3 linked regions of the Drosophila melanogaster genome follow. The protein of the gene in region 1 interacts with the protein of each later gene in a pairwise test. Each region holds a gene or a part of one and is shown in the gene's direction. Other genes may lie near its edges.

Region 1 (9,344 bases):
CGGCGAGCGCTCCAAGAAGGATAATAAGAAAGGTGAGTTCAGTAACAAACGCAATTCCTGGAGTTGTAAATTAAGGTGTTTACATACCAGGCAGCGCCAAGGCCAAGAAAATGGAACAGATGCGGAACGAATCTCGTGCCTCGACGCCGTCTAAGGATAGCAACACCTCGCAATCGACCGCTAGCAGCACACCAACAACTAGCGCCGGACCGGGAAGCAAATCGGAAGCCGGGAGCACTGGCACCACGACTACTAACAGCACCGCCAACTCTACAACCAGCCGGGCCCACCGAAAGTCCACACAATCGACGCCATCCACAGCAAGACCTGGCACGCCGAGTGATAAAAAGGAAGACCCCGCCGCAGCTGAGACCACTGAGGAAGAGGGGCCGGTGGCGCCGAAAAAGAAAAGAATGAGCGAACAACGGCCTTCTCTTACGGGAAGCGATGTAGCAGAAAAGCCGTTGCCGCCCACTACCACTCCATCCACACCCACCACGGAGCCGGCACCGTGTGTGGAAAGCGAGGAGGCCTACGCAGCTAAGGTGGAGGTCAAGATTAAGATACCCGACGAGTTAAAGCACTATCTGACCGACGACTGGTATGCGGTGGTGCGGGAGCACAAACTGCTGGAGCTGCCCGCCAAGGTTACCGTGCAGCAGATCTCTGAGCAGTATTTGGCGCACAAGAAGTCCGTGAAATCGACCAGTGCCAGCAAGGAGGTTGCCATAAACGATGTACTCGACGGAATTGTAGAGTACTTCAATGTAATGCTGGGCTCCCAGTTGCTGTACAAATTCGAACGCACCCAGTACGCGGATGTGATGCAGAAGCATCCGGACACACCGTTGTCCGAGCTTTACGGATCTTTTCACCTGCTGCGTCTGTTTGTCCGCCTTGGCTCAATGCTCAGCTACTCTGCGTTGGATCAGCAGTCCATGCAGAACCTACTCACGCACGTGCAGGATTTCCTTAAATTCCTCGTAAAGAACAGCTCAATATTTTTCAGCATGAGCAACTTTATCAACGTTGATCCCGAGTACGTGCGAAATGCACAGTAAGCAATAATCTTTTCTTGACTTGAAGTAAATATTTCATCAAAACAGTTTGCAATAATTCGGTGGTTGCTCTCAATTTGCTCCCAAATTGTAAATTAAAACACAAGTAAAATGTTTTGTCATAAGGTAATAAATGTCAGCACCTTGTATTAGTTCTTCGGTTTCGCTTTTGTGTCTTCATCATCGCCCTCGGTCTCCGTCTCGCTACTACTACTACTACTGCTGGTGGGATAGAAGTCGCGAAGATCCCTAGGCTTATCCCGCTCCTGCTGTTCCTTCTCCAGGTACTCATTCTGCACCTTAACAATCTCATCGCTGCTCTTGCAGGCTGCATAGGCATTGAGAAGCTTGTCGTTTAGCTCCAGAAAGGCATGACCCCATGAGAACTTGCCCAGAAACCAGCGAGCCTCTTCCGTGAATCCACAGATGTATAGAGTGGCGGCTATGGCCTCCACGCAGCTGAGCTTGCAGGGCTTTCCGTAGTTGATGGGATTGGCGGCCACCAAGAAGGGCAGCAGTCGCGGATGTGGGCTGCGCATCCTTCCAAAGGGCGTCTCGTCCAGCTTGGCCCACGAGCAGTCGATCACGGCCACGCCCGAAGAGGCCACCACATCGCGATCCAGCGGACTTACACACAACTGGCCAACGGGCGAGAGGACAAGGCCAGGAAACTTCTGACCCAGTCGAAGATTTGAAATGAGTCCTAGGCGTGCCAGTTTCCTGCCCGAACACTTCTTTGGATCGCAGTGGTTGAGGTCCCACATGGCCACCGCAAACTCCGGCGGCTGGCCGAGATCATTTTGGGCTCCATCTCCCGAGGATTCCGAGTCGGAACTTTCATTTTCGCTGCTACTGCTGCTGGCCAGCTCGTTGGCCTGCTGAGCAAAGCTGCGGGCACAATTGTGATTCGCTTTGACATTGCGGTAGGGTCCTCCTCCACCCTTCTTTCCTTTGCCGCGGTTCCGTCCACTCATTATGTTTTGGTTTAAAACTTTATCAAAGCAAAAAAGAATCAAAGTGTTTTTAACGTCTCGTGGTGGCCAAGCCGACGACCCGTTTTATATATTTTGATTGCAAAGAAGGGTGGCGCAAGAAATGTGACACATTACGATGTCACTTTTCAAAATTTCAATAGTTTAAGTAAATGTATTTTGTTTTCAACTGCAAAACAATATTTATTAAAGTATTTTAAGTATATGTATTGTGTTTAGTAAGATTTAGCTTAAACTGCAATAACCTTAAAGTATATCATATTCAAATATTTTTAGACTTAACGATTAACTTCATCTGCGTTTACGTCACCTTAAAAATGTTAAGCATGAGACTGAGGTTATCGCATGGCTATCGATAGCTGCCGAGCGCAACCCTGTCACGCCAACGATGAATGGAAAAGAATATGGCGACCTGACTCTGGAAAAAAATTATAATTTGTCCGGCAAAAGTAGTGTGCAATTCAAAGAAATGTATGTATTAAAAGTGCAATTGTGCGGCGATTGTCTGAAAAAAGTACATTCAATCAAAGGACACGCAGTAAACAAGCCGCTGAGGTCAAAGTGATTTGTGCGTGCCCCAAAAAAACCATTGTTGTGTGAAGTGGACAGGCGCGCCAAAAGGGCTCAAAAAATGCCACCCACCGAAAGATGCCAAAGTTGGACTTACAAGAAAACATTGCAGAATTGCGGACAATGAACAATTACTGATAAATAATACAAGAAGCCTGGCGACGCGCACATCGCACACATACGCCCGCGAAACTGTCACACGTACACAGGCGTATATCGATATTTGCGAGTTGCATTTCGCGCCGTGGCGGCAGAGCAAAATAAACCGAATAACCCAAAATCAACGGGCGTCTATTTGAAACTAACAGCGGAATATACCATACTTACTAATTGTTATTCTTTCTTGTTTTACCCATTCACCTGCGTCCCATCCCAATACGCTTTTTCCGACTCCTTACCCCTGCGTGAGTACAGTTGCGCCCTGAAGCCAGAGCAAGCGAAACCACGGGGAGGCTAACGATAAGGATACGGAAACGGAGAGCACGGCCACTAGCCAAGCACACAGCAATATGGGTGAAGTCAAGTCCGTGAAAGTGGACAACTGGGGAGTCTTCTTCCTGCAGAAGCTGCAGAACTTCTTTAATAAAACGGATTACTGCGATTTGACGCTGCAGTTTCGGGACAATTCACAGCTAAAGGTACACCGTCTGGTGCTCAGCGCCTGCACCGACTACTTCAATGTACTGGAGCAGACCTGCGAGATCGTCGACGATGCCCTCATCATGCCCAACGAGTTCCAGGCGGACGTGGTGGTGCCCATTGTCAACTTCATGTACACAGGCACCCTGGAGTTTGAGCTTAAAATGTACGGCAAGCTGTTGCGCACCGCCAAGGAAATGAACATGACGGTGCTGTTGAAGCTGCTAGAGGCGCACCGTCGCACCATGGAGAACGTTAATCGCCAGCAAAGGGTGAGTGGTGGCAATTCATCATTTGTGAAAATATTTTGTAACCTTTTATTTTCTTTAGCCGCCTAGTCCAAAGGGAATACGCCGGCGCACAGTTGGACAGCCCAGTTCGGGTCTTCCACAACAGCGCGTCTTGGGTCCTTCGCCGCAATCGCGAAACGTAGCCACACCCATCGCGCAACGAGCCAACACACAGCGCGGGTCAACTGGCAACACAATGAGCCGAACATCAGGTGGCTCAAATCGTTCGCCGTATGGAGATAGTAGCAATGTGAAGCAGGAGCCAACGTCACCATTCGAGCAGCTGCGAAAGGGTTATAACAATAACAAGAGACCAGCACAGACAAGCCTGCTATCGCCGCCATCCAAGAAGCCCAGTTTGGAAGAGGTTAAGGAATTCGCTGAGCAACAACGGATGCGAAAGCAAATCGCCGCTGAGTACGGAGATAACGATCCTGAGTACGATGGAGGAATGCTTTATGATGATGTCCATGCCGGGGACGATGATGACGATGATATGCCACCGCAGCCATCTACATCTAAGCAGCAATCCCCACAGGGTACACAGACCCAACTAGAACATGGATCCACCACCATTATCTTGAAACAGGACTCACCCAGCCAGACCCCAACAATAATTGTCAAGGACTCCTCCAACGCCAAGCTGAATCACACCAAGATCATTGCCGAAGTCTTGCGCCAGTATCCGCACATTGTAAAGGGCCACAAAAACATAAAGCTAAAGATTATGCCCAATACCCCGGCAGCGCCGACCGAAAAATCTGCTCCAGCGACAGTAAAACCCCCGGCGAACCAGTCATCCGCAACTACATCGCCACACAAGAAACTGCACGTTTCTTTCAAAGCCGACAAGAGTACGCCACTAATCACAGCACAACAGAAGGCGGCTAGCTCTCAGCAAAAGTCGGGAACCTCGCAGACAACCGGTAACCAGGGAACCGGGGCGAATCCACCAGCAAATACAGCCGCAGCCCAGAAGAGACGCATTGATAGTAAGACAATGCACGCCTTGATCGCTCAGGGAGCAGAGAATACTACTGGTGAGTACAACATTTGTAGGTAATAGGTTCCCAAAAACAACTACTAATGAATATCTATATTTCAGGGCCCTGGCTGTGCCTGAGATGCGGCGTAAACGGACGACCCATTAGCATTCCGTCGTACCGAGGCTTCCGACGCCATCTGATCAACACGCACAAGGAGACAATTGATCCGGCGCTTTGTGAGCATTGCGGGTGGAGGTCTGTCAACAACCGGGAACTGCATTTCCACATGTATATGGAGCACCAGACCAAGTCGCTGCTGTATACGTTTGCCGAGTGCGCGCTATGCAACCAGTCTTACCGGACCAAGGGTGAGTTGGAGGCGCACATAAACGAGGTGCACACGGACGACAACAAGCAGCAGTGCATCTACTGCAACAAGGTGTTCGAGCAAGAGCTGCAGCTGTACAGACACATGAAGAGCTACCACAAGGAGCAGGCTTTGGAGGATGGCATTATCGATGAAACGGACGAAGAATTCCTCGGCTCGCAAGACGAGGAGGAAGAGGCCGAAGGAGACGAAGAGCAGGAACCAGAGCAGACTGGCAAAGTGCGAATCCTTTCGGACATAAGTCTACCAGCCACCAGTGCCATCACAGTGCAGCAAGCTCAACAGGAGCAACTGCAAGAGGAAGATGTTGAACAGGTGCAGCAGGAAGTCAAATTCGTGGGCGCCGATGGCAATGAGGTGGAGCTTACTGATGAGCAGCGCAAAGAGATTCTCTCACAGCTTAACCAGCAGCAAGCAGGCGCCACTGCCGGCGGTGTGGTAATGGTGCTCAGTGAGCCAGAAGCGGAGCACGTCAAGCAGGAGACCGATGAAAAATCCCTGGCCGGCACCGAAGAGGAATATGATGACAGTCAAATCTATAGCGAACTGGGTGCTGCCGACTCTGTGGAGAGCGCCAAAAAGAACATTGCTGATGAAAGCAAAGAGTCCATTGACAACCTGGAATGGGCCGAAAACCTTATAGCCGAGTCTGAAGAACAGAGCAACAAGGAGGTGAGTTTATTAAACACTTTTATGCAAGTACATCTACAACATGAGTCATACAACTTACAGCCAAAATCGGATAAGCCGCGAGATGACATTAGTGAAAAGCTAAAGGAGCTTACCGGCGACTGGACGGAGGATGAGAACGATGACGATGTCGACGATAAGCCCGCTACCGCAGAGCTTGCATCCGAACTAGCCAACAAGGACCCTGAGCCAACAGTACACGAGGAAGAAGATGATATTGACTTGGCTCTCCAGTCTCTACACAAGGGACCCGAAGAGGCAACTGAAGAAAAGGCAAGTGAGGAGTCTGTCACCAGTGCGGACGATGCAGTTGACGCAGTCCCCAATATAAATAGTCAGCCCGAGAAAATGGATGTGGACTCAGAAGCGGCGGACGAGAAGGCTTCGAAGGCCGAGGTCCAGATCAAGAAAGAGGCTGAGCTTGAAAACGATCAAGAGGAATTTATCAAAGAGGATTCACCAATTCCGCATTCCGATTCCGTGGCGGAATTAAGAGAGGCGGTAACTGCCTCTGAGGGCGAGGATGATGTGCATCTAGAGGCCGATAACATACGCAAAGAGCTGCTAGATGAGTTAATTGCCGAGGCCGAGAAACCTGATCAGGAGAAGGACATTGTTCAATCTGAAGAGAATGCGACGACAGAGGCGTTAGATAGGTCAGTAACGGACGAGGATGACCTGGTGCCACCTACGCAGGTATCTACCGAACAAATGGAGATTGATGAACCAGCAGCGGAAAAAGCAGCCGAAAATAATGAAGATACTAGAACGGCAGACGAGAAGGAAGCCGTCGAGGACAAACCAAACCAGACACAGGATGTAACCACTGCAGAAAAGCCGACACTAGAAAGTGCAAAAGCAGGTGATGAAGCAACGTCAGGTGAAGCAGCCAGCGTGGACAAGGTCAAGAGCCTCATTAGCGAATGGGGTGACGACGATGAGGACGAGGATGAGAATGGGGTTAGTGCGGCGGCGAAGGAGGAGCTATAATTACTAGATTTATTTATGTTCTAAGTTTGGCGATTCAACGCAGGTCAGCAGATAAACGCACCTGAGCTCGGCGCGAATTTTCGGTTTCTATTGTAAATTAAATTGTTAATGAAGATCAAGGTGAATGATAAGATATGCATATGCACTGGTTTAAGTGTATAAGATCTAATCTACTCATCTCACGTAATTGTAAATCCCCTCCCATCCCAAGTATGTTGCCCTGCTAGCATGAAAATCGTAAATCTAAGAGGAGTTCCCCAAATGACCTTAAATGAGAGATCAGAGACCAAACAACCCAACATTTAGCTATTTATGAGTGTCCGTTTCTTCACACATACACCACCAATAGAGCAACCAAGCAACATTTCACGATTAGGTAAACACTATATATATATATACACATATGCCTATTTACATACATATAGAGATGTAGTTACATAGATGTTGTTTTAATTCGTTTAAAACAGTGACATGATGTCCCCAGAAAGTAATAAAATGATTGCGTTTAATGGTTGGCTAAGTAAGATTAATCAAAAGGAAAAGAGGATGCCCTTTTTTTGATTAACAACTTAATTGTAAGGTTTATTACATATAATAAAAGCATAAAAAATAACACAAACTTTGGAGAAAGAGAAAATATAAATGTAGACGAGAAGACTGAACTTTTTACTTATCCTACGGCAGATCGACAATGTACCTAAAACAAGATTAGTTGGAAATGCACAAGTAACAAGTCTTACACAAGAGATTAACAGCTGCCAATCCATAATATTATCCTAAGTGTTCTAAGTTTAAAAAGCGGCACATTTTCTCACAGCGCTGAAACGATTTCTCAACGAAAAGATGTCTAATCCTCATCTGAAAAGGCGCGAAGAAAATAGGTCAGCAATGTCGAAAGGGAAATGCAAATCACATAATGCTACGCACCAGAAAGATAAAAGTTTATGATGCACATGGTCGCAAAGCCGGCGAGCACAGTTGCAAACTGTGCAAATCCCGCCCAGCGTCGCGTTGAGTTCGAGTGCCAGCGCGCCTTCTCGCGCGGTATCACCTCGCAGACGGTGACGTAGAAGAGTGTGCCTCCGGCCAGAGCTTGGACGATAGGCAGAGTTTTGCTGGACCAAGCGGCGGGCACGTCCACGATAAGCATGCCCAGGCCAATGCCAATGACGGCGCCCAGGGCAAACACCGAAATGCCGACGAACTGGGCGCGAAAACTCGTCTGCGGATTCGAGCGGAACTCGAGCCCCAGACAAAAGCCCATCACGAACTTGTGGCAGGCGACGGCCCCTAGAAGAAACAGAACCTACGACGAGACAAAGCAGATTCCGGTTATCTAATTGGACTAAGCCCTCGCATCTCTTTGCTTCAATATTTGCCTAAGATTGCGCACTATAGCCGATCTAGTCTAACTATGTCAAGGCAGGCGGCACAGACCTTTGTGGAAGAGTTCTGAACGCCGATGGCGAGTCCTTCGATGGCCGAGTGCAGTGACAGGGCGACAAAGAGACCCAGAGTGCCTGTCATGGATTGGGCGCAGGGTTCCGTGTGGCTGGTGTGGCAGATGCGGGCGTTGGCGTCCTCTACACTGGCATCATTACAGCCAGATGCGCTGGCCGGGTGATTGTGGTCATGATCGCTGCGTAATCGAAGCACAAAGCAATTAGTTTTGGCTGCGGGAAGGGAAATGCAATAAACCTACTGGCTATGATGGTGCGAATGCCCATGTGACGTATTGGGTTCCGCTGATAAAAGGGGCGCTCGTTCGTCCACTGCGCCATAACCATTGTCATTAGTGGGACGTCTTGGTGGCTCGGTTGCTGGAGTCTCTGCATCGTGGGCATGAGTGTGCTGAATGGCCTCGCCAAAGAAGTAGTGTATGAACTCGTCGATAAAGTAGATGATGAAGAACCCGCCGCACATGGCAACCTCAGCGAATTTCGAGTCCATTTGTTCGCGCACCTGTTGCATGCGTAAGTCAGCAGGTTATCAAATTGCAGCCACACACACGATCGCAGTCCAAGCTCTTACCTCGGGCAGAATGTGCACCAGTGCGGTGGCTAGCAGAATGCCCGCTCCGAAGCACAGGAGCAGGGATGCGGTCAGCGGGAAGCGGCGACGATTCCGTTCCGATATAAAGGCGGGCAGCAATCCGAACAAAAGACTCCCGAGTCCGAGGACCAGCATAGCCAGCACTTTTTCCAAGTCGCCGCGACTCGTGGCAGCCAGGGTGGGGCTTGGGGTGATCTCCATGTTTAGACCGTCGGTTGGCAAGCTCATTGTATCAACTGCCAGACTGTGTCATCAAGAAGGGGGCCAGTAAAACACACAAAAGTTCGTTGCATTTACTATTTTTAAACTAAACAGTTGCGAAGTGTGTGCAGCTGCTTTCGTGCGAAATACCAAAACGCCTTACAATGGGGGGGCCACAGAAAAGTAAGGCATTTCAGCAGTGCGCCTTTCAGATCACACTCATTTAAACGGTTTTTTTTTTTTTTAATTTTATTTAAACATTTAAATCTAGAACTATTCTTTTACCAACCACCACCATTAAGAATTTCAATAAAAGAAGGTAGGCACCCTCTCCAATTATAGTTTTGCACTTCGACAAATGCTCCTGTAGTTAAAATTCAAAATTTTACCGTTTCCGTCCTGGTTGTCCGTTGGAAAATGCATCGTCGTTGTATAATCTGTGGCCAGGAGCCGGGCGAGCAGTGCGTCTACCCGCGCAACATGTCGGA
Region 2 (7,146 bases), 6.1 Mb from region 1:
AGGGGATTGACGCACAGCTTCTGCGTCGGAGCTTGCAGGCTGTCCACCTCAGCGGAGCTGTTGAGGTCCAGGGTGGGCGAGGGCGTGACGTATGGCGTGGGTATGTACTCGCTCTTGATGCCCACCGCCGAGGGCGTGGCTCCACCGTACACCTCACCAGATCCGGCGTAGTTGTAGTTGTAGGTGGCGGGGGTCTGGTAGGCCGTGGCCGAGGCGCCGGCGTAGAACTGCGAGGCGGACATGTTGTAGGCCGAGGCGGAGTGCTGGAAACTCTGGTGGGGATGTCCGTGATGGTGCTGGAACATGTGGGCGGGCATACCGTAGTCCTGGTATCCGCCGTACAGCTGGTGCGGCGGGGGTGGCAAGAGTGGCGATAGGGACGACGATGTGGTGGCGCCATCGTCCAAGTGTTGGTGATGCAGTTGCTGCTGCGGAATCGGCAGCTCGGATTGCTGATGCTGCTGGTGGTTGAGGTACTGGTGGGGATTCTGGTACTCACCGGCGGCGAAGAGCGCCGAGGCAGTCGCCGCGCTGCGGGAAAGCAGGAAAATGGAAAAGCGCAAGGTTAGAAACAAGGCAATACAAAGTCTCGTATATGGCCGCCATATGTTGCATCACGGAGGACACAGCCCGGGGAGCTGGGACGAGGACTTTTTGCCCACTTCCTGCTGGCGCGACAGGATCCATGGTGACATCATTTCATGGCTCATCAGGCAATTAAGGACGCCCCTGTGCGGCGGTCCACACATGCGAATCACACATGTTGACCAGCCCAGAAGGGATCGGGCGGACCAGCGATCGCCGTGACTCCCGACTGCCTGCCTCGGACATTGTTGTTCTTATTGTTAACACTGTCTCTCCTCGTCTTTGTCTTCGGCCTCTTGTACAAATAACGATGATTTGTCAAAGCCTCGAGCTCAACGCTCAACGCTTGACGCTCTCCGATCCCAGATCCTATTTGCAATTCATGCTTTCTATGTGTTTTCATAGGATTTCTTCTGCTACGTCTCGGCGGAAGGTTATCAAAATATTATCTTTCTTTGGAAAATTGGTAGAAATTAATTTTCCTATGGAGCCCTATTAAATAAAAATAAATAAAAGCGATCGGGACGGGGAAGGGCGCTGTCTTCGAGAAGAAGTCACTGACAGGTAGAAGTGGTGGAAATGTCCATGTATGCCAGTTGATAGCTAAAAATGGCTCAACTAACAGTTGGTCTCTCTCTGAACTGCACAGATACCTTCTTAAATCATTGCAATTTAGATAGTTAACCGGTATAATAATTAGTTTTATATCATATATGTACACTGATTCGATTTAGTAGATTTTGGTAACATGTAGAACACAGTACCTTGGAACTAGTCTATTGGTGTACCCCAATTTTTAGTTGCTTTTGACCCTTAATGTATAATTGATTCAAAACTTCCAAGCTTACCCATCGATATGCCCGTAGGAACCTTCGTAGGCCTCCGTTTGGTTGACCATGTTCAGGATATCCTTGACCGAAAATGGAGTGGTGTTCAGGGCATCCGCGTTCGTCAGGCTGCCCGGACTGGGGGACTGAGTGTAGTGATCGTAGTAGCCACCCGATTGAGCCTGCTGCTGATGGTGCTGCAACATCCTCGCTGTGCGATCACTTGGCCACTTGAGAAGCACTTCGATTTAAATAAGTCCAACAATTTGCCAAATCGCACTTGAACTTGCGACACTTGAATTGGAATCTCGGTAGTCCAGTAATCGAGCAAACACTCCACGCAACCGTTAGCGCAACCGTAAGTGAGTCGTAGCCCGTAATCGGCAATCAGTAGTCCGTAACCCGTAAGCCGTAAAGCGCCGTTCCGATGCGCACTCGACCGTGTCTGCAATTTGTCAGCTCGATTTTGGTACTGAACGCGTACTCCTTTCACCCCAGACCGCCTCATGCCACTGTGTTTTTGGATGTGTGTGAGCGAACTGAGCATACGGGCAAAATGGCCGCCCCGGAGCCAATCACAGCACAGCATCGGAATGCGAGTGCGGCATCTCGCTCTTCTGCGCTAGAGATGTGCGAGGCTGTCATATGCTTAGGAGATTTATAAAATATGTATCCAAATATAAAAAACTAATTTATGTATTACATTTGTAAATTTAATCTAATAGCTTAAGAATATATATGGTATTGACAATATATTTTAAGTTCTGTCCATCACTAATTCCAAACATGTATGCTTGTATGCATGTATGAAAGTATCTTTGCACAATCGCACACATTGTACCTGACTATCAGATTCAATAACCGACTCCTCCAGCTGCTCCCCGTTGTTATTAGTTGTTTGTTCGCAGCCACTTTATGCTGATTTTGTTTCGCTACTTGAGCTTAAGTATCCGTATTTATTATCGTAAAGTCCTTAAGTTTTATAGTCCCCATGTATTTACGTTTGTCCGCGCGTCTTGTGTATTAAACGGTTGTCAAGTGGCGCTCAAGTGCAGATTTTCGCACACTTGATTTTAAGAGTGTACTAAGCTAACAAATAAATAAATCGTGGGGAATATGTTTGGTTTAAACGTTACGCTCTCATATATTATTGTTTATTTCACTTGAAACTGTTATGATTTAATAGAGATGAATAACATGGATATGTGAAGTTGTCTAAATAGAGCAACATTTTTAATAATATTTCGCCTTTATGGGATGAATACCTTCATTTCGAATCTTGGCATTGCACCAAAAACGTGTTCACATATGTATATAATTGCATATGTAGTGCATATGTACATACAGTACACAGATATACATATTATGTACATACATATTTTGTTTGGTATGTTTAAGAACTTTTAGCGAATATTTGCCTTTCTTATAATCCTATTAAGTCACTTTTTTTTTAAAAATATAGTGCCCTTGTGCATTCAGAGTGTAGGGTTTACGTAGTGACGATGCGCTCCATAAGAGTTTGTCAGAGTTATAATGAATTCCGCTAGAAAATAATCCTCCATTCGTAAAAAATCGAAGGCCCAGTTTAAAAAATAGGAGAATTTAAAAAAGTTAAAATTTTTCTGTTTATCTTATGAATTTTATTCTAGTTGTGCTAGTTTGACTGCTAGTCTTTAAACTCGTTAATTTGTATTTTGTTTTATTTCATTTAAAATAAATTAAACATTAAGCTAGACAACAAAACTGTTGTGAAATAAGAAATTTCGTCATAACATAAATACATCGTATACTTAGGCCGATATTTTCTTAGTCCTACAACCTTTTTTAACACACCCGCAAACTAAAATCCTACAGCATATGTAAACTAAAGTATGTAAAAGTTTTCAAAAAGTTATGAACTTAATTATGTGATTTTCGTACTAACATTTAAAAAAAAAATATCAAAGCACATCAACTATCAATATTCATAAAAGTATTTCGATATAAATATTTTAAGCTATCGATATATTGTCACTTTTTGTTTTGCCATCGCCAGCAATCTCGTCGCCTGGTAACACTTCTAATTTTCACGTCAAAGAACTCGGACGCGTTCTGCGTGTCGGCCGCGCTAGCAAAAAACTCTGGCTTTAGTTAGTTATTTTATTGGAAAAATATTTAGTCAAGAGGTGAGTAATGGCGCCCCAAGTGAATATACACAGTAGGTTGCGGTCATTAAGCGAGATAAATGTAATTTACACACACGCACACACAGACAGACGCGTGAAAATTTCCCAGTTTTTTTTGGCTGCAGTGCATTCTATTTTGTGTGTGCCTTTGCCATTTTTCAGCACTCGCTGCATTGAGTTTTAAACGCGCATTGCACTTTTTCGCCTGCAGCCAACAAACGCATAGATACAGAAAAGTATTGATTTTCGTCCAAGATGGCGGACGACGAGCAATTCAGCTTGTGCTGGAACAACTTCAACACGAATTTGTCGGCCGGCTTCCACGAGTCGCTATGCCGCGGCGACCTGGTGGACGTCTCGCTGGCCGCCGAGGGCCAAATAGTGAAGGCCCACCGATTGGTGTTATCCGTCTGCTCGCCCTTCTTCCGCAAGATGTTCACTCAGATGCCGTCGAACACCCACGCTATCGGTGAGTTTGTGCCCCTCAGCTCAGATCTGTAGCTCTACGTGATTTTTTACCTTATACTCTCTTCGCCTATCTTGCAGTATTCCTGAACAACGTCAGCCACTCGGCGCTGAAGGACCTCATCCAATTCATGTACTGCGGCGAGGTCAACGTGAAGCAGGACGCCCTGCCCGCGTTTATTAGCACCGCGGAATCGCTGCAAATCAAGGGGCTAACGGATGTGAGTATATGTATACATTTGTGTGCGTGATATACTGGTATATCGAATCGAGCAACTACAACGCAACCTTTCGCGCCCAATACATACAGACGCGATGGCTGGCGTCTGTATAAGAGCATGGTTTGACTGTACCGAGAAATTTCTCGCAAACCAAATGCCAAAAGGCACGCGTGCCAGAGAGAGACAACTGCAGGGGCTATACGCGAAGCGTTTGTCTCGCTCTGGCTCGCACGGCAGCGGCAAATTGGAGTGGTTGTTTTTGTCTCGCAGCGAATTCGATGCCAAAGCATAAACATTTTTTGCTTTTAAACTAATGTTTAAATTGGGAAATATCTCTTAATGTTTTCGACTAAAATTAACGTATTTGCAAAATTAAATTTAGTGCAGCTGTACCTAAAGAAACAGGCATCGGAACTAGAAAATGTATTATTGTTTCCCAATTCAAGGAAGGCGTACTTTACTAATTAATGGCCAGATTTCTTATTTCTTTGCAAATTCCATTCTAACGGAATAATTCTTTTCAACATATAGTTTTGAAATCGTCCATTTTATTAAATGCAGATACTTTTAAAGTTTATTAAGTTTTGATCGTGGTTCATTTTTAAAGAGGTGCTAGAACATACAAAATATCTTTTCACTTATTCCTAAAATATATGTTAATAATTAAAAAACCAATATTTTTTTTTCAGAACGATCCTGCGCCTCAGCCGCCGCAGGAATCCAGCCCGCCGCCAGCAGCACCTCATGTACAACAACAGCAAATACCGGCTCAGCGGGTGCAGCGCCAGCAGCCTCGCGCCTCCGCCCGCTACAAGATCGAGACCGTGGACGACGGCCTGGGCGACGAGAAACAGAGCACCACCCAGATCGTCATCCAGACCACGGCCGCACCCCAAGCCACCATTGTACAACAGCAGCAACCGCAGCAGGCGGCGCAGCAGATCCAATCGCAGCAGCTGCAGACGGGAACCACGACGACGGCGACGCTGGTGTCGACAAACAAACGCTCTGCCCAGCGCTCCTCCCTGACCCCCGCCTCCTCGAGCGCCGGCGTAAAGCGCTCCAAGACAAGCACCTCCGCAAATGTTATGGACCCTCTCGACTCGACCACTGAAACTGGAGCCACGACAACCGCCCAACTTGTGCCGCAACAGATCACCGTGCAAACCTCTGTGGTCTCTGCGGCAGAAGCAAAGCTCCACCAGCAATCGCCGCAGCAGGTTCGACAGGAGGAAGCCGAGTACATTGATCTCCCCATGGAATTGCCCACGAAATCTGAACCTGACTACTCTGAGGACCATGGCGACGCCGCCGGCGATGCCGAGGGCACCTATGTGGAGGACGATACTTACGGAGACATGCGCTACGACGACAGCTACTTCACTGAAAACGAGGATGCTGGCAACCAGACTGCGGCAAATACGAGCGGTGGCGGAGTGACGGCGACCACTTCCAAGGCTGTGGTCAAGCAACAGTCCCAGAACTACAGTGAATCATCGTTTGTCGACACCAGCGGGGATCAGGGCAACACAGAGGCTCAAGGTTGGTTGAATTGCAAAGCATACATGGCCAGAGGCCAATAGATATAAGCAATATTTAAAGGACATTAAGTCCGCTTGCGAAATGCAAACACGTTAAAAAAAAGATCACATATGTATTCCAAACTTGAACACTTTCCAAATCTATTAGCGTCGCAAGCGGATCATGTCCTTTTAGAGTTCGGCAAAGTGCGTTTAATTTTGTTTTGAACAAACTTAAGCTATACTTCGCTGGCCATTAGTTAATAAGTAGTTTACGGGCCTGTGTTCTATTTCGAATCGACAAAGAGCACTAGGCAGATCTGCTGTCCGATGCATATTTGTTAAATGCTGGACGGAGATCGCGCGGTTTTACACTTATTCAGTTAAAAGGTAAGTAGAGTGATGAAATTTTAAGAAGCTGCTACGATGGATATCTGATGTCAACGTGAAGCCGAACCCGTGAAGAGCTGCAACTACTCAAGGTAATACCGGCACTCTTAAAACCACACCTATCCATATATTTTTCCAAAATTTGCAGGCATTTGTAATTGTTTATTTGACTGAGCAAAGCGAGTAATTGGAGTTTTCAATCTTACATGATCAGGGGGTTATTATTTGGGCATGCGCATTTCTGTTTAATAATGATCCTCTGGTGATGCTAAGGCTACTGAGGTTTGTTGTTATTTATGTTTTCAAACTCGTACTTAAAGATGTTGTCTGGATTTGTTTAAGCAACGTAAAAGCTTGCTGATGCAAATCCAGCAACGGCATTGATTGCCGAGTCTTAAAAAAAAAATTGTATTTATAACGCTGTGTTATAGTAAAGGTTCATTTCTAATCGTTTTAGTGGTCACGTAAAAAAAAAAGGAAAGATTTTAATAATACGTATAGGGAGACTCTTTTAACGTTATCAGTGGAGAGGAAATTTATTTCTTCATGCAGCGTCGATTCTGTTTTACTTTTTGCGTGCTGATTTTGTTTTTTCATTCCAAATTTTTTGTATGGAACATTTTGCGTGTTTTTTTTATATGGTTCCGAATTAAAGGGTGTCTGAAGAATTTCACGATATTTACGGATGTCGCGGTAACCTTAAACAAAAAAAACAGAATATACTAGACCTCTTACCTAATTGGTAAGAGATAATCATAAACCGTTTTAATTCATATAGGCGATAGTTTATATACCTTGGAACAAAAGGTTGGACCGCCTTGAAGCATTTCCGACTTATATTTCCTTTATTTGTAGTAGTAATTTTCGTTTTTTTATTGTTAAGCGTATTTGAGAAAATTTATATTAACGTTTGAATCGTGTAATTTATATTTTGCGCGCCTGGTCCGGATATTTAGAAAGTATCCACAGAATA
Region 3 (7,624 bases), on another chromosome or scaffold:
AATAGATTAGGAAACCATGAAGTTACCCGCACCGCACGTGAAGTGCAGCAAAACTTTGCCGAGTCGCTCGGCTACGCGGAAGAGATAATCTGGGATCTGTAAGTACTGCTACTGCGCATTAGAATTTTGAATTCAAAGTATTTGGGGTAATGACGTAACCCCTTACAGGTTGTCCCATGAACAACATGACGTGCTAAGGGGCAAACTCTGTCAATTGATTCGTGATTCTCCGGAACCGAAAACTGCAACGGAAACTGAAAAAGACAGAAAAATCCGGCTGAAGGTCAACGCAGATAATGAGCGCGCCCGTCAGATCATTTTCGATTCCGTTTGGCAGCAACGTGAGTTGGACTTACAGATTGTATATAGTATAGTACATTTTTTCGCTGCCTTAACTGCGTACAATTGTTTTCCAGGAAAGTATACCAACCGTCAATCGCTGACGGCGATCATTTACGTAATGGTGGTAACTGACGAAACGGACGTCAATCGCGCCGAGGACGCCAGAGTCTTCAGCGTGCACCCAGTCTTTCGGGCCCGTCGATGCGTCGGTGAGTCATCCTTTGCATACGTATGCAATTTACAATATATTTCCTATCTATCTATCAATGGATCCATTTAATACTCAGTTGGCAGTAGTGGCACCAGCAGCGTCAGCTCGAATTGCTGCAATCTGTTTATCGACGAGCTTGGTCGGGTCTACCAAAACTGGGAGATGTATGTGACCACCAACGAGTTGCCTGCCGGAGTGATGGTGGCCCCAGAGAAGGGTATTTACCGCTTGGTCAGGGATCAAGTACGTCTGGATAAGTACACAACGCCGGCGGGCACGACCAACAGGAAGGTGCTGGGCTACCTGGATACTGGGTCGGCAGTCGGAGGATTTTTTGCTGCCTGTGTGCCCATTGCTGCCCTGCTAACGCTGCCCGTATCCGCTCCGCTGATGGGCGCAGCGGGAGTAGTAGGTTTGGCCAGTGCTGGATACGCCGCATCGCGGTCTGGCAGCAAGCTATTCGATCGCAGCCAACATGAGCAGTCTATCAATGTGACGGACCGCGAAGCGCGTGGTCACTGGTTGGGCGTGGCTGGTGGCACTGTGGGATTGGCAGCGGCTGGGGCCACCACAGTCTTGACAACGGCCACAAATGCTGGACGCGAGGTGGGAGCGGTGAGTCCTTAAACCCCCCCCCCCACGCAATCAACAATGGAATAAAAATGTTAAATATGTACTCACATAGATCACCCAACTGACTGTGAATAGCATGAACATATCCTCGATTGTGGTATCGGGCACTGGAGTTGCCAATGGTGTGCTGGATCTGATATTGGCAAGTCTCGAAACTTAGACTGTGATTAGATTAGGCTAGATAGATTAAACTTATGAAATTTATGATCTTCCACAGAAAGCAAAAGACGGTGACGAAATAGTTGCGATGGATGTTTTGCAATTGTCCGCTTCGTTGGTGCTGCTCACGCACAGCGTCTACAACTTTAAATTGGCTTCGACCATAATTAATGAGACAAGCAATGCTAATATTGCCGACTATCGTAAAAACCTTTCTAATAGGCAGCGGTAAAAAACGTTCAATGAGATACATTCTGTCGTAAACAAGAGTTTCTACTTGTATTTTTTTTACCATCAGGCGAACCTTTGACAAGGCTGCCAAGGAGACCGTTCGGATGCAAGGCAACACTCGCGGCAAACTGGACATTATACGCAACGTAAACGAAATTTCGCCACAAGAGTTTAATGATCTTTTTAAGATCAACAAAAACTTGAATCAGGAGGGCGTGCGATACTCATTCGCACCCGATGGCAAAGGATTTTTACTAAATGGCGATGTGCAGACGACGGGTGCGGAATTGCGAGCTAGTGTACAACATAACCAAGGAGGGAATGTCCTAGGCAAAGTTAGTCAGCCCATTCCCGGTAGCCATGCGGGTTCTGGTCGCCTTCAACTGGGCGGCGTTAATCAGGTTTCCCGTCTAATCGGACCGCTGCCCACATCCCATCCTCGACAGGAACCCAGTACCTATGCCGCCGGCGTGTTCGCCTTGGAGCTAAGCTCTGTGTTGGTGGGCGGTGTTGTTTTCGTACTGGAGAAATACGGAAAAATCATATTTGAGCACGTGATCAATGCTGAAAGTTTTGAGAGCCTAATCAACATCATGGCCAATAAGCTTGATCCAAAAGTCTTTGACCATATAATGCTATTGACCAGAGCCTTCATGGACACCATGCTGGAAGACCTCACCTCGGTGCTAAAGTTCTTTATATCAACGGAATCCGTTCTTTACCGCATTTTGTTGTACATTTTACGGAACTTCGAGGACGTGCAACTTTCGGTTATTGCGGATCACACTTGTGAGATCGTAGAAGCCGTAAGGGTGTACTTCATGTCCCTGAATCCAAATGCGTTCCCGGGTCTCCTTCAGAAGTGTCCGAAATGTATCGGCCACTTCAGCGTTTGTCCCTTGTAAGTGTTTAACGAAATGGTTCGTTTAACATTAGAATTCAAGGGCCATCAGCATGTCATAATTGATGCCCAATTGTTTAACCACAAAGAAACGTTAGCTAGTTCCGCAAATAATCAATGGGATAACTTACTTAATATGAGCACAAATTGACAAAGATGAAATTGTTTTAGCATTTAAATAAAGATTTTATTAACCCTGTTGAAATAATTGTAATAAAAGGAGAATTTTGAACCGGAATGGTTCTGATTTCCGGTTTTCGAACACAGAATATGTGAATCATTCATTGTGTAAAGGGGATTTTTTTTAATCTTTAAGAGTAATTCCTAAATTTACAATCTGATGTCATCTATACTATGGTATAATAGCAACAGCCATACCACCAAATCATTGAATGCCTTAGAATATAAGTCATAAATTCAAGTATCCCATAAGAACAACCCCAATTCTGGTGACAATAACAAATCCAGCCTGCCCTAATGTAACCATTAACATCTGCTGCCGAATCCGTTATTCCCACCAAAGGGTCAAAACCGCTAACGCAGCTCAAGTTCTCGGCTGATCAGTACCCATGAGCGATCCATCCACTCAAGAGGGCACCCAATCCAACAGACATAAACATCCGCAGGGGCTTTCGCGACATCAAAACCGCTTACGCAGCCCAAATCCTTGGCTTATCCAGTATCCAAAAGAATACAGATTATATTTTTTATCTAATAAATTACCGTGGATTCGTTATTATATATTTTCTGTTATCAAGAATTAAAGATAGTTTATATAGAGATGACAAGATACGAAACCAATCGAACTATCGATAGCTGGCGGTACTGATGCTACATGTCGCCATCTTTTATTAGAAATGGGCAGCTGTTTCATGTGGACGCAAATTAAATTGTAGATTTAACAACAATAACGACAACCGGCGTCCCTTTCAACATATTTTTTATTGGCAACCAAGTGTCGGTAGGTGAATTGAATCAAGCGGGATTACAATTGGTCGTTGCGAGAAATCGATAAGCGCCCTCTTCGGGATCCCGGTCATCCGCTGTGGGTCGCCACCAAAACAAATCCAATTTGTCCATAGGAATGCCAAGGAGGACAAAAAAGGACGAGGACCCCGAGGATCTGCAGACCTTCCTCAACAATTTCCATAAGGAGATCGAAGGCAACAGCGATGAGAAGGTGGTAAACACGATTTTGGAGGCCATCAGCGCCGAGGCCATCGACTTGGATGAAAATGGTGCGGAGGCTGGTGGATCGAAACCGATGGAGGAGGCGGAGGCTGATTTGGATCATGCGGAGGAAGCGGAGGAGGAGGAGGAGGACGACGAGGATAAGTATTTCATAGATGACGAGGGCAACTGCTATATCAAGACTACGCCCAAGAAGCAAAAGGAGCTACAAAAGAAGCTCAAACAGGCGGCTGCCAAGCCGGGGAAAGCTACACGTTCCGTGGTCAGTACAGCCACCAATAAATGTGAGTTACCCTTTGCCATATATGTGCGTGCATTTGTATCACTTGCTCGACTCTTTTTAAGCCATCAATTTGCGGCCAGCCAAATCGACACCGAAAGCGACTACTTCGAAGCCTCCCCCAGAACCCAAGGCAATTAGCGTTCGACCAGCCCGAGCAGCTGCAGCCAAGGCGAAGCAATCGGCGATGCCACCGCCACCGGCATTAGTGGTCAAAGTACCGGCACCCAGGGGCAGGCCTAGAAAGAACCCTGTCATACCGAAGCCTGAACCCATGGACTTGGAGCGGGAGCTCGAGGAGCTGGTAGATGAGCCCGACATCAGTTCAATGGTGACAGAATTGTCGGACTATACCGTAGACGAAGCTGCCGTAGAGGCAGCAACAGCTACGCTGACGCCAAACGAGGCTGAGGTCTACGAATTTGAGGACAATGCGACGACAGAGGATGAGAATGCCGACAAGAAGGACGTAGACTTTGTGCTAAGCAACAAGGAGGTGAAGCTGAAGACAGCTTCTTCTACCAGCCAGAATTCGAATGCATCGGGACATAAGTACTCATGCCCACACTGCCCGTATACGGCGAGCAAGAAGTTTCTGATCACGCGCCACTCACGAAGTCATGACGTCGAGCCATCCTTCAAGTGCTCCATCTGCGAGAGGTCCTTTCGATCGAACGTGGGCCTGCAAAACCACATAAACACGCACATGGGCAATAAGCCGCACAAGTGCAAGCTCTGCGAAAGCGCCTTCACCACCAGCGGCGAGCTGGTCCGTCACACTCGCTACAAGCACACTAAGGAAAAACCGCACAAGTGCACGGAGTGCACATACGCCAGCGTGGAACTGACCAAACTGCGCCGCCACATGACCTGCCATACGGGCGAGAGACCATATCAATGTCCGCACTGCACCTACGCATCGCAGGACATGTTCAAGCTGAAGCGACACATGGTTATCCACACCGGCGAGAAGAAGTACCAATGCGACATCTGCAAGTCGCGATTTACGCAATCTAACTCACTAAAGGCCCACAAGCTCATCCACAGCGTGGTCGACAAGCCCGTCTTTCAGTGCAACTACTGCCCGACGACTTGCGGTCGGAAGGCTGACCTGCGCGTTCACATTAAACACATGCACACCTCTGATGTGCCAATGACATGCCGGCGCTGTGGCCAGCAGCTGCCCGATCGCTATCAATACAAGCTGCACGTTAAGTCACACGAGGGCGAAAAGTGTTACAGCTGCAAGCTGTGCAGCTACGCTTCGGTCACCCAACGCCATTTGGCCTCACACATGCTCATCCACCTGGACGAAAAGCCGTTCCATTGCGATCAGTGCCCGCAGGCCTTCCGGCAGCGTCAATTGCTGCGCCGCCATATGAATCTCGTGCACAACGAAGAGTATCAGCCACCAGAACCGCGCGAGAAACTGCACAAGTGTCCGAGTTGTCCGCGGGAGTTTACCCACAAGGGTAATCTAATGAGACACATGGAGACTCACGATGATTCGGCGAATGCTCGCGAAAAGCGGCGTCGCCTTAAATTGGGCCGCAATGTGCGGCTGCAGAAAGATGGCACTGTCATCACGTTGATCAAGGATCAGTATGTGGATATGGACCGGGACCAGGAGGAAAACGAAGAGGATGACAACCCAGAGAGCTATGACTTGGCTGAAATCGAGCCGGAGAACTCGGAGGCTGAAGACGCCGATGATGATGTGGAAACCATAGTCAGTGATCCGATCCGTCAGAGAATCAAGCCAGCACCTATCATTATCAACAAACAGGCCAGGCTTGCCGCCTCCGAAAAGCAGCCGATGATCATCAATCAACGCCTCCGAAGTCAACGGGGCACCAAGACGTTCCACATCAAGGAGGAGCCGGACAACTCGGACTTCACCGTGGAATGGCAAGGGGATGATGGCGAGGTAATGGTCGTAGAGCTGGTTAATGGCGACGAGGAGGTGTTGGTCAAGCACGAACCGAGCGCCAACTCCAAGATCAGTGCCAAAAACTGCTTTGGTTTCGAGGTTAGTTGCAAAAACTTTAGCTGGCATTTGTTCCATTACTCAAAAATTTGGTTTTCATGCAGGACGACGATGATTATGAGGAGTATGGCGATGGGGAAAACGAGGTCGATGGCGCTTCCCAGGAGTTTCTGCAGCTGATGGATATGATTGAGCAGGACTCTTAGTCTCCTGAAAACAAAAGCTAATGGATAAGTAATTATGACTAACTTATGTACATACCAAGCATACAATAACGTATTTCTACGTTACATTGTTTTCTATTTAAATACACATTTAAAACAGTTAGGAAACCTATTTTTACTAGGTTAAGAAATGGATATTAAAAATGTATTCTTTCTAAATGAATGTATAATTCTGGATAAGCAGTTAACATGCCGATATGGCGACTATTTGTAAATGATCCCCGACACTTAAACTTTAGTTGACAACTTGGCATAAATATTTATTTAAATACATTTACATATATTTCAATGTTTTCATTAGTAGTATATAGTATATGGGCAAAATGTTAGGTGCGTTTGCGTTTAGCTGCATCTGGGCGTGCACTGTAAATTCTCGGCTATTAGTTGTCGTTTCTACCGTAAAATGTTCGCATAGTTTATAGTTTTCCATTTCCACTTCAGCAATCTGGTTAATTTTCTTGTTATTTTTCCGGTTTCTCTTGCCGTTTATTTCTTTTTGTTTCTTTCATGTGTATAACTACAATAAAAATATATATATTTTTATATATAATATATGTATATATTTTTTAGGTGGTGCAATGTGCAAAAACCTGCCGTGCAGTGCATCATTATCATTATTTCAATATATATAGTTGCGTTCATTTGTGTTGATTTTATAGTGTCTGCATAAAACATTAACAATTTGTCGTTAATAGTACATATGTATGTATGTATACGAATCGCATTTGTATAACAATTAAAATGGAACAACGTCGATAAAGGAAGTGCACATTGAGTTCCGAGTGAGTTAGATTTGATAAAATGACACTTAGAAATTGAAAATTGCTTGCAGAATTGAGTTACGAATACGAAACACACTTAGAAATACAAGAGCTAAAAAATTGCATATTCTATAATTCAGTAATGCTCTGCGAGATTTGCTTGATCCCCACCCCCCCCCCCCTCTCCCATTCGTTGGGCGAAACTAAAACTGGGGAAACTAAACGAGCTAACTAACTACGTAACTTTGAAGCAAAACTAAATTAAAAGTATAAAGTAAAATGTAAAAGTAAAAAAACAAATTCTTGGAAAGCTGTAATATGGCTCTTTGCTAGCTCAACGATAAGCTTGGCTTATATCAATTTACTTTTGGCTTAACAATTTTCTGTAAGGCTGCTGTTGGTTTTGTTATCCATCCCATTTCATCCGATTCACTATCAAATCCAAATCCTATCCTCCTCCTATTTCCGTTCTCATCGCTCTGGTTTCGGTTGACAGTAAGGTAGGGGTTCTCTGTGGGCTTTTCGGTTTGGCAAAGGGTAACATAAATCTCAGAATATCTTCAGCTTCTGCAGGAAACGCAACAGGGGCGCACTGAGGCACGCAGGCGTCGGCTGGCTGCTGGCCTGCTGCTGTCCCGGATTGGCGGCAAAAGAGGCTCTGCCGTTCGCAATTCACGACTGCTCCCTCTTTTGCCTCTTTGGCT

The links.
Region 2: the proteins of Cp190 (region 1) and mod(mdg4) interact in binary tests that used the Drosophila melanogaster proteins (3 or more experiments, as listed by UniProt).
Region 3: the proteins of Cp190 (region 1) and CTCF interact in a two-hybrid assay, tested with the Drosophila melanogaster proteins (3 studies listed by BioGRID).

What each region holds. Positions count from the first base shown.
Region 1 is NT_033777.3:15,268,302-15,277,645, reverse strand, and holds Cp190 (centrosomal protein 190kD), read left to right. Parts: upstream 1-2,404; 5' UTR 2,405-2,521; intron 2,522-2,855; exon of another isoform or gene 2,856-3,034; 5' UTR 3,035-3,129; coding exon 3,130-3,531; intron 3,532-3,589; coding exon 3,590-4,589; intron 4,590-4,654; coding exon 4,655-5,595; intron 5,596-5,655; coding exon 5,656-6,603; 3' UTR 6,604-7,214; downstream 7,215-9,344. Other genes in the region: MRG15 (MORF-related gene 15), read left to right, coding at 1-32, 76-1,061; CG4338 (uncharacterized protein), read right to left, coding at 1,208-2,032; Zip88E (Zinc/iron regulated transporter-related protein 88E), read right to left, coding at 7,451-7,461, 7,531-7,909, 8,041-8,242, 8,306-8,565, 8,635-8,883; CG14864 (uncharacterized protein), read left to right, coding at 9,274-9,344. UniProt on the Drosophila melanogaster protein: Plays a central role in chromatin domain organization and boundary function through recruitment by a range of insulator DNA-binding proteins, including ZIPIC, pita, CTCF, su(Hw), cliff and others.
Region 2 is NT_033777.3:21,373,719-21,380,864, reverse strand, and holds the start of mod(mdg4) (modifier of mdg4), read left to right. Parts: upstream 1-3,463; 5' UTR 3,464-3,577; intron 3,578-3,788; 5' UTR 3,789-3,832; coding exon 3,833-4,046; intron 4,047-4,123; coding exon 4,124-4,263; intron 4,264-4,952; coding exon 4,953-5,805; intron 5,806-7,146. Other genes in the region: tin (tinman), read right to left, coding at 1-531, 1,434-1,618. UniProt on the Drosophila melanogaster protein: Component of the gypsy chromatin insulator complex which is required for the function of the gypsy chromatin insulator and other endogenous chromatin insulators.
Region 3 is NT_037436.4:7,352,395-7,360,018, reverse strand, and holds CTCF (CTCF), read left to right. Parts: upstream 1-3,305; 5' UTR 3,306-3,438; exon of another isoform or gene 3,439-3,559; 5' UTR 3,560-3,561; coding exon 3,562-3,952; exon of another isoform or gene 3,953-4,013; coding exon 4,014-5,977; intron 5,978-6,039; coding exon 6,040-6,141; 3' UTR 6,142-6,441; downstream 6,442-7,624. Other genes in the region: pst (pastrel), read left to right, coding at 1-98, 169-551, 630-1,168, 1,239-1,328, 1,404-1,573, 1,644-2,481.